Linked DNA regions of Caenorhabditis elegans. The protein of the gene in region 2 interacts with the protein of the main gene of each other region in a pairwise test. Each region holds a gene or a part of one and is shown on either strand. Other genes may lie near its edges.

Region 1 (5,779 bases), on a different chromosome or scaffold from region 2:
TTGAAACTGGAGTCATTTTAGGTCTTCGAATGGACGATGAAATCCCTGGAACATCATTATACTCGCACTATTTCACTCCACGACTTCTTCGCCCAAATTTGGTTCCAAAAATGAATGATGCTAATTCTGCGGCATATTTGGCTTCTATTGAAAAAGAAACGCTGGCATGTTTGAGAATGATTCGTGGAGCACCATCAGTTCAAATGCAAAATATTGTTGGAATCAGGCTCGACGAAATTGAGCAAATCGAAGAAAATGAACGACTACAAAAATCATCAAAATCTTCAATTGAATATGAAGTTGGAAAAGTATCAGAGAAAATGGAAGAAGAATGCTTTGTAGAAGAAGACTCAAAACCTCCATCATTTCCACCGGGTCAAGATCCTCGTCGGATTGGTCAGTACTGGGGATATGACAGGTCTGGATTGGCTCCACCGAGAAGTCACTCGGATGTTATTGAAGAAGCAAAATATGAAGATCGCGACAGACGAAAAGATCTCAATATTCCCGGAATTCCGTAACTTTCCATGTAATTAATGATTAAACACTGTGATGAATTTGTCAAAAATCTTTTCTGTGTTGGTTTTCAGTATTTCCGATTTTATATTGTTTTCTGTTGCATGATCTCTAAATTTCTCAAGTAATAAACCAAATTTCAGAGCTTCAACGTTTTCATTCACAATAGAATCTGAAAATATACAACTATTTCAAACATAAAGGAGGAAATGGTACTCCCGAAAAAATACCCGCGAAAGAAAGTGGGACGAGCAAATTTGTGAGTAGGGATGGGTACAGAAAAAGAAATGGAAACAACCGATGAAATATCCACAGAAGTAATCACATTCACAGTTCAACATATTACAGGGAGAAGTGAAAAATAGTGAAACCAAACATCTAATTTAGTTTTTAATGCAATCTAATTGCTATGGGTGAAACGGATAAAAATATCAACCCGTATAAATATAACTTGTTTCAATTTGATATACCTGTAGATGGGGACTTTGAAAATGGGAAAGCTAAACAAAAATAATAATAAAAAAAATAAACAAAAAAATGACTAAACTCGACGGACTAATCGAACTGGGCTGGAAGATAGTGAATGGCATGAGACAATGTCAATGATTTCTCGTGCGAGATGAACCACACGAATATCCAGATTGTGAATGTGTTTCGAGTGTCCATGGGACATATCCTCGACGATTGGAGAAAGCCCGGAATCCATAAACATTTCGATGTATCTGAAAATGTTTTGAAATGATTTTTGAAATTAAGAAAAAAGTAAATCAAAAACGTACCCTTTCTCATACGTAGGCGCTTTGTTCTTCTCGCGATGTTGAAGAACGTGATGAACTCCCCACAAACACCACATGATGGCCCCATTCGAATTTGACTCTCTAACAATACGACTGAATGGAATGAAAGATTTGTAGGAGACCATTGCCGATGGAAGTGTGGGATACTGCTCAATAAGCTCCAAGAGCTTTTCGCAAGCTTCGTCACGTTGATTTTCACTCTCCCAACCATCAGTGTTGGTCAGAAGATTAGCGAGAATTCCAGCAGCGAAATAAGATCGTTCAACTTCACGATACCGTCCTTTCGAATCTACTTCGTTGAATGATCCGTCAAGACAAGAACTGAAAAAAATTGGTTAAATTGAATTCAACGAATTAAAAAACATACATAAGAACAGAAATATACTCGTTTTTGCAAAGCTGTCCCAAATGCAATTCTTCCACTTCGGCCAAGTTGTTGAGGATGCCAAGAACCTTCGTCTGCACATTTCCATGATAATCAAAAGCTTTGAGAATTCTGAACGCAATCTGAACACCTCCAGCATCCAAAAATGCTTTGCATGTAGCCGGGCATTCGTCTGTTAGATTCCAGAGTGCACTCAGGGTGAACTTCAGAGTATACAGTGCATTTTCATTGTCTCGTTCGTGTCCAACTCGATGTTCACGAGTATATGCCTCCAGATAATCATTCATGATTTTGACAAGATGGTATACATATTTGGTTTCAGTTGTTAGAATCTTTGCTTCTGATGGTCGCATCTTTGGAGTCACAATCGACACAATTGCAATAGTCATTCTCTCAACGCTGGCATCACGATTCAAAAGCATCGTGTCGAGAGCAACTTTGCAGGTACGGTAGAAATCAATTTCATCCAAATGAAGAAGATAATCATTACAAATTGTAAGCCAGACGTTCTTCTGCAGCTGCGTCATGCTTCTATACTGCTCTGCTGCGTCAAGTGACCGTTCAATGCAATTGTTGACTTCTTTTACTGATAATCTCTTGATTCGCTTCATTCTGAAAGTTTCCATCATGGAAAATACATTTATAAAATAATAATACGTACTTGCAAAGATGATAGAGACAAGCACTACCCGCAATCTGCACTGGCAAAGTGTTGAGCCCCTGCTGCATCGAGATACACACAAGCCGTAAACACTCTTTCAACTCCTCCTGTGAAAACTTGTCGTAGCCGGACTGTAACTGGTAATACACAGAATGGAGAGCATGAGTGATGAATGCAGGCCTGTCCAGATTTGCATAATGGGACAATGCAAAAATGATAGATCTTCTCGAGACTGTGTTGATCACTTGCAAATTTCTGTTTGGAATCTCAATGAGTGACGAGTCGAGTGGAGTTGCTGTAATTTCAGAATTAAAACACTACATTTCCAGAATAAAACTATTACTAACCAAGTAAGCTAATTTGCTCTAATTTCGGATGCGCCTCAATAATCTTCTCAACAAATGCCAGTGCTCGATCGGTACCAAATTGAACAATGCTCAAACCAGACATATCAATTGCTCTTAGCTCCGCCCAAGGCGTAGCTGTCCCGCTCTCAATTGCTTCCACAGATCTGTTGTAGATACCAAGAGCCAAATCGAGATGAGCATCCTGTGACGTTTCTTGTAAATAGTCTGTGTTGACTTTTCTTGAAATGTCTAATACACGCAATTTTGTCAAATTAGACAATGTCTCTGTGACATCCCCTTTCAAAATGTTCAGGTTGTACATAATGAGGACTTCGAGATTTCGAAGACTTGAAATGCAAGAAATATCCGTGACACAGGTGCTCGAAATGTCCAGGAACCGAAGATTCAACAAACTCGCTCCAATTTGTGACAAAGTTTCGTTGGCAGTGCTTCTGTTAGCGAAAGCAAGACTTTCCAGACGAGGAAGTTTTCTCGCTACATACGTCGGCCAATTTGAAGTGATTCTGTGTCGTCCACTCAGATCAAGATGTCGAAGCTGTTGTCGTGAAGTTCGGTTGAGTGCCGTATCAAGCACGTCAGCCACTTGAATTTTGTTCGTATCTGAAAAAAAATGTATTAAAATGTTTTAACAAAAACTGCTTACTTGGAAAGTAATCAATATCGCCAAGTCGGAATGAAACCAGGTTCTGGTTCGAACAAAGCTCCAAATCTTGCAACTCAACCTTGTTGCCCATCAAATCAATTTTATTGATTTGGAATCGTGAGGTACTGCACATCGTTTGCAAAGTTTGATGATTGAGTTTCTTTTTTTGGCGAAGAACTTCAAAAATATCGTTGCTGCATGAGGCGATTACCTTGTGATCAAACTCTGGCAGAGCATCTGAAACTTTAATTTCCATAAATGCCGAAATCAATAAATTTACCATTTTCGATGAGCTCAGCAATTCGTTCAGTCGCCAATCTCGCAAGTCTCGGAATGGCCGAGGTACTGCATGTCGTCAGAGCTGCATTGTGATCCATATCAGATGAAATCTGAAATTAAAAGTAAAATTAACTTTATTAGTGAAAAGTAAAGAGAGATCGAAGTGCCTGATGAATGAGGGCTAAATAAATATTTAGTGGGACTCTCTATGAGTTACTATGTAGGTTGCAATTTATAGAAAATGAGAACAAATAGTAAAGTGAGAGGGTGAAAATAGATGAGAAAGAAGGAGCAGACTGGTTCCAGACACTTACACAAAGAAAATGAAAGTAAGAGAAAAAGGAGAGGTAGAAAAGAGTATGGGACACTGGACGATGGGCATATTAACGTCGGCCTTAAACGGTCCTCGGCCATGTCATTGGAGCGAAAATGCATTTTTAAGCAACAAGTAATATTAAAATAAAAGTAATGATTTTTTTATTAGACGGTCGAAAATTTCATCTTTTGCTGATACATAAAAAATTAATTCCAATTAGATTTAATACGGGGTGCAAAGATATGTTAATATTCGTATGTTACAAACTACATCCTTACTGTTGAAAAATCTTATTGAATAGCAACAGAAAATTTATCGATAATTTGTTTTTCTGCATCTCTTTCAATTCTCCTTCAACAACGACTTCTTTTTCAATCAAGAGAACATTACGTCATGAGAACAGTACGAAGAAAAGGAAAAAGAAGAAAAGATCACATGTCATTATGGGGAACCCCTTTCAACTATTACATGTGACTAACTGATTGAACAGTATACTATACCGTTTCTTCGGTATGATTGCACGCAAACGCATGCCGAGAAGACGAGAGGAAAATAATTCGAAAACGTCGATGATAATTGTTTCGAATGCGCACGCACATCAGGCGGTCAACATTCCCGATGAGACGCAGACATGATCTACGCACTTTTAAACATTGTTGCAAATTTGAATAAGTTGACACAATTTTTCAAACTATCATTATCAATTTGTTCGCTGGATTGTGGTTGTCCGGGTATTGCACAATTTCAACGACATTCGAGAATGGCTGATAACACTACACGTGGTTTTTTCCCATTACGTCTCTTTTCTAAAAATCAACTCAACTCACATGTGAGTGTCAACGGTCAATAAAATTATATTGAGAATGCTTTAAGTATTTAATCGTATTTCCGATGAATAAAATAAATAAAATTACTAATCGTCAGGTTGAACTTCTGAATTCAGTAAAATCAATCGAGGCAACCTTGAATCATGTCGCATCGTATCGTACAAAAGAAAAAAATGCGTTAATACCGAGAAAAGTTAAGAAAAAATAAATGAAAATTGCGATGCTCGCGTGAAGTTTTCACCGTCGACTGGGTAGTCGACCAACCAACTGATTACATTCAGTACGGGGAACCCCGGAGTGGAGGGAAGTGTCATGTGATCATGATAACGGGATGGGTGAGAATCAGAAGAAGAGGGTTTCCCCGACGTCTCTCTCTCCTGTCAATTGTAAAGAAAGCACACATTTTTTCTCTCATTTTCTCTAAATACTCTCGAATGTTGGATAATAATAATGACGGCAAGCGAAAATAGAAAAAAAATTTAGAAAGAAAACAGAAAGGACAACGAATTTTCTGGTTGCAGATCAGGAGAGTTGTGCAAAGTTTTTCGTGAGATCGATGAAAGTAAACTTTTTCGCATGAAATATCTCAAAATCATTGGAAATAACCAGCCTACTCATCTCTTTTTTTCTCTTACAAGTTAAAACAAAGCTACATGGTATTTGTACTGCTCCACACACTGAAAAGTTAAGCTTCCGATCACTTCTTTTGCAAACAATTCGTTGCCAATTCATCTTCATATGTGCACGCAGTACAAGTGTAACAAAATGAACACGAAAAGAGCAATGACCGAAGAGTTGAGAAGTCAGCTGGTCTAGCTTGTTGACACTGATTTTTTGAAGAAAAAAGGAAGAAATAAAGAAAAAGAAGGTTCTCGAGAAACGAAAGACACGGTGAAATGAACTGGGGGGAAGCGGCGGCTACAACAAGAAAAATTAAGAGAGAAGGTTATAAACAGTACAAGAGATGGTTATCATTCGCTCATTCTG
Region 2 (4,169 bases):
CCCGCCTGCCTCTCGACGCGAGCCTCGGCTCCTGTAGAGTGCGGCGTGGAACCAAAAGTGTGCAGAAATGAAGCGAGAGGCCGGCGTGAGGCGGGCAGGTTGGAGGCAGGCGTCAGGCCTTGAAACCGTGCCTGCCTCCCATGGAAGCCCTAAGATGCCTATCTCACTCTGCTTTACAAGATTTCATGCTATATTTTGATCCAATAATGCTAAGATCCGTAATAAAGTGGTAAGGCGACACCATAAAAGTTCGATATCCTCCGTCTAAATCGTAATAGTAGGCGGATCTGAAATTGAAAATTAGGAATTTATTGGCTGACAAACTCACTTTTCCGATCTCCCACAGATTTTGAGTCTTTTCTCATTTTGCTCTTCGGTCAGCTTCAACATCTGCCCATTGCATGTTACCAGGAAAACCAAGAAAACAAGACATTTCGGCAGTAACACCATAGTTTTTACCAATTGATTTTCTTGGAAAAATTGAAAAGAATTGGGAGAATAGTTTCTTCAACCCCGTGTGATTCACGTTCTCAGAAAATTCAGGTTTCAGGTTGAAAAAAACTGAAAAATAGAAAACCAAATTGAAAAGGAGCAAATAATCTCAAAAATCAGATGTCGCAACAGTGGGGAAATCGTTAAACACCAGTCCTATGAGCCCAAATAACCCATAGTAAAACCTTCCAGAAAAAAAATCTGTTTTGACGGAAATTGTGACGAAATGGAATCAGTTTGAACTGATTACAGGAGCTCAAAAAGCTTGAGAAGACTTGCAAAAACATGAAACTTTTGAACAATCAGGAGAATTCTAATTCATTTTATTGACACAAGAAATGGGTAAGTTCAATTCAAGCCTTTGGTGGTTCAGCAGATCCAAACAATCCATAGACCAAAGCCTTCGAGAAGAGGAACGAGGAGACCAAGAGGATTTGATACATATGGTGCTGAAAAATGGATTTTTGAAGTTTTTGAAGTTTATCGGGTATTTAACTTACTCTGTTTGGTGGCGACATGTTCTTGTTGGCAATTTGAAGAAGTGCACCGGAAGCAACACTGTAAAGTGCACTCAATAGGAAATAGGAGAATGAGAGGCTTCCAGAGACGATTCCAAACACAAGCTGAACTCCGAGAGCAGCCCCAATTGCACCGCCCAACAATGGAGCACGAGCTGTACCAACTTGTCCGGCAATCAATGGATATGCGAATGCAATGACCAATGGAGTGATGAATCCAAGTGGTTGGCCACCCAAGTAAGTGTACGAGATTGAGTGTCCCATCAAAATTCCTTGAGCCAAGGCCAGAACCAACAATTGAAATCTTGTGGCAGAAGTTGAGCCATTCTCAGCATTCAAATAATATGCACCGGCTCCTGGGAGAACAAGAGAGGCGAGAATTGCAGCACCACCTCTTCCAATGAATATTCCAAAGATTGGCGAGAGCACATATCCACCAATGATGCTGGCAATCCCGGCTCCGAGAAGAAGGATCGAAGACCATCCAAAGATCTCAACAACCGAGGAAGTGGGCAAGCCAACTGGTTGTTGAGTCTCTTGAAGAGCCGAGAGAATCTCCTGGGTTTGTGATTGGATCTGCGACTGCATCTGTTGGATTTGAGCAGGCCCATCTTGTTGAAGAGCAGTGGCACGTTGACGGAGACCTGGAAAATTAATAGATAAATAATGCCAGTTTGCAACGTGTTCATAAGGAACCTTGCAGAATTGGCATAAATGTTGTTTTCTACAGATTCCACCTTTTACAAAAACCAAACTTCCCTACCTTCTGCAGCCTGTTGGATGTCCTGAACGTAATTTGCGTACGTCTTCGTAACGAATCCAATTGATGCATCCTGCCCTCCTGCACCCATTTGAGATCCTCCAGCTTCTGGGGCAATTGACGGAGCAGCATCAGCAGGTGGTGCGGCATCAGATGGTGGAGCAGCAGCACTCGGCTCCATTGCGGATTGTCCTCCTTCGGCCATTTTTCGCTTGTTCACCAAAAGGGCGGTTTGTATCGGATTTGTGAGTTGCACAGAGTGCTAAAAGTTCCGATATATATTGCGATAAGCCAGAAAAGACTTCATCAATAATACGCGTATCAGGGGTGCTTGCCACACTGGCTCATTTTGTAGAATTGCCCGTCGGCAATTTCCCCGCAACACTGATACACGTATTACACACGCTTTACATGTGTAAAGTGATAACAAACTAACCTTGAAGATTCCAACTCGAAGTGTCGAGTATATCGATTAATAAAATTTTTGGACGATTCTCTCCTATTTATGAACATAATCCACGTAAATTGGGGGTGGCACGTAAAATGATTATTCTTTACTCTTGTTTTTATTGAAATTGTACAAACTTAATATAAAAGTCTCCAAAAAACATTTTTTCCGTGATTTTTATTTTTGAATAAAAACAAGAGTAAATAATAATCATTTTACGTGCCACCCCAAATTTACGTGGATTATGTGCATAAATAGGAGAAAATCGTCCAAAAAATTCATTAACCGATATACTCGACACCTCGAGTTTGGACTACAAACCGCACTTTTGGTGAACAAGTGAAACAATGGCCGAAGGAGGACAATCCGCAATGGAGCCCAGTGCTGGTGCTCCACCAACAGATGCCGCACCACCTGCTGATGCTCCGTCAGCTGCACCAGAAGCTGGAGGATCACAAATGGGTGCAGGAGGACAGGATGCATAAATTGGATTTGTAACGAAGACGTACGCCAATTACGTTCAGGACATCCAACAAGCTGCAGAAGGTAAGGAAGTTTGGTTTTTGTGGATTGTGGAACCTGTAGAACCTGGCAATATTTATGTCAATTCTGCATGATTCCTGATTGACACATCGCAAACTGGCATCACTCATCTATTAATTTTCAGGTCTCCGTCAACGTGCCACTTCTCTTCAACAAGACGGGCCTGCTCAAATCCAACAGCTGCAGTCGCAGATCCAACCACAAACCCAGGAGATTCTCTCGGCTCTTCAAGAGACTCAACAACCAGTTGCCTTGCCAACTTCCTCGGTTGTTGAGATCTTTGGATGGTCTTCGATTCTTCTTCTCGGAGCCGGGATTGCCAGCATTATTGGTGGATATGTGCTCTCGCCAATCTTTGGAATCTTCATTGGAAGAGGTGGTGCTGCAATTCTCGCCTCTCTTGTTCTCCCAGGAGCCGGTGCATATTATTTGAATGCTGAGGATGGCTCAACTTCTGCCACAAGATTTCAATTGTTGGTTCTGGCCTTGGCTCAAGGAATTTTGATGGGACACTCAATCTCGTACACTTACTTGGGTGGCCAACCACTTGGATTCATCACTCCATTGGTCATTGCATTCGCATATCCATTGATTGCCGGACAAGTTGGTACAGCTCGTGCTCCATTGCTGGGCGGTGCAATTGGGGCTGCTCTCGGTGTTCAGCTTGTGTTTGGAATCGTCTCTGGAAGCCTCTCATTCTCTTATTTCCTCTTGAGTGCACTTTACAGTGTTGCTTCTGGTGCACTTCTTCAAATTGCCAACAAGAACATGTCGCCACCAAACAGAGTAAGTCAAATAACCGATGAACTCAAACTTTAAAAATTCTTTTTTCAGCACCATATGTATCAAATCCTCTTGGTCTCCTCGTTCCTCTTCTCGAAGGCTTTGGTCTATGGATTGTTTGGATCTGCTGAACCACCAAAGGCTTGAATAGTACTTACATCTCTTGTGCCAATCTTGTGTCAATAAAAATCCATTTGAATGCTCGTTTAATTAATTTTTAAAAAGTCTCGAGCTTCTTGTGTGTCTTTGTGCATTTGTGATTCGAATCTGATTTGATTCTGTTTTGATATTTTCAGTTGTACAAAACCTTCCCAGTTCTACCTGTAAAATAGTAAATGGTGGCAAAAAAGGTTAATTTCTACGAAAAAGTCATCAAACTCTTAATTCTCCCACCTTTTCATAATTTTTTTACATAGTTTAAATTTTCTACCTTTCTACTCTCCAATTTTAATTTTGTGGGAGAATTGTATTTTTGAAAAATTGAATCTTTCAGAAGCTCAGTGGAAAATTTTCAAATATAGCAAATCCGGTCAAATCGGTAGGCATAATATAGGCAGGCACACATTTTTGTCTGAAAAAAAAACAACCGGAGAATAAATCAATTTATATCCATAATCACCAAAAT

What was found.
Region 1: the proteins of W03D8.9 (region 2) and zyg-11 interact in a two-hybrid assay, tested with the Caenorhabditis elegans proteins (one large-scale study listed by BioGRID).

What each region holds. Positions count from the first base shown.
Region 1 is NC_003280.10:8,015,660-8,021,438, reverse strand, and holds zyg-11 (Early embryogenesis protein zyg-11), read right to left. Parts: upstream 3,760-5,779; 5' UTR 3,748-3,759; coding exon 3,651-3,747; intron 3,608-3,650; coding exon 3,371-3,607; intron 3,328-3,370; coding exon 2,707-3,327; intron 2,655-2,706; coding exon 2,360-2,654; intron 2,311-2,359; coding exon 1,681-2,310; intron 1,635-1,680; coding exon 1,296-1,634; intron 1,239-1,295; coding exon 1,058-1,238; 3' UTR 654-1,057; downstream 1-653. Other genes in the region: hda-2 (Putative histone deacetylase 2), read left to right, coding at 1-521.
Region 2 is NC_003279.8:2,783,822-2,787,990, forward strand, and holds W03D8.9 (Membrane transporter protein), read right to left. Parts: upstream 2,257-4,169; 5' UTR 2,207-2,256; intron 2,033-2,206; 5' UTR 1,976-2,032; coding exon 1,774-1,975; intron 1,655-1,773; coding exon 993-1,654; intron 942-992; coding exon 846-941; 3' UTR 799-845; downstream 1-798. Other genes in the region: Y71F9B.15 (Glycoprotein), read right to left, coding at 168-287, 329-450; W03D8.14 (uncharacterized protein), read right to left, coding at 4,160-4,169.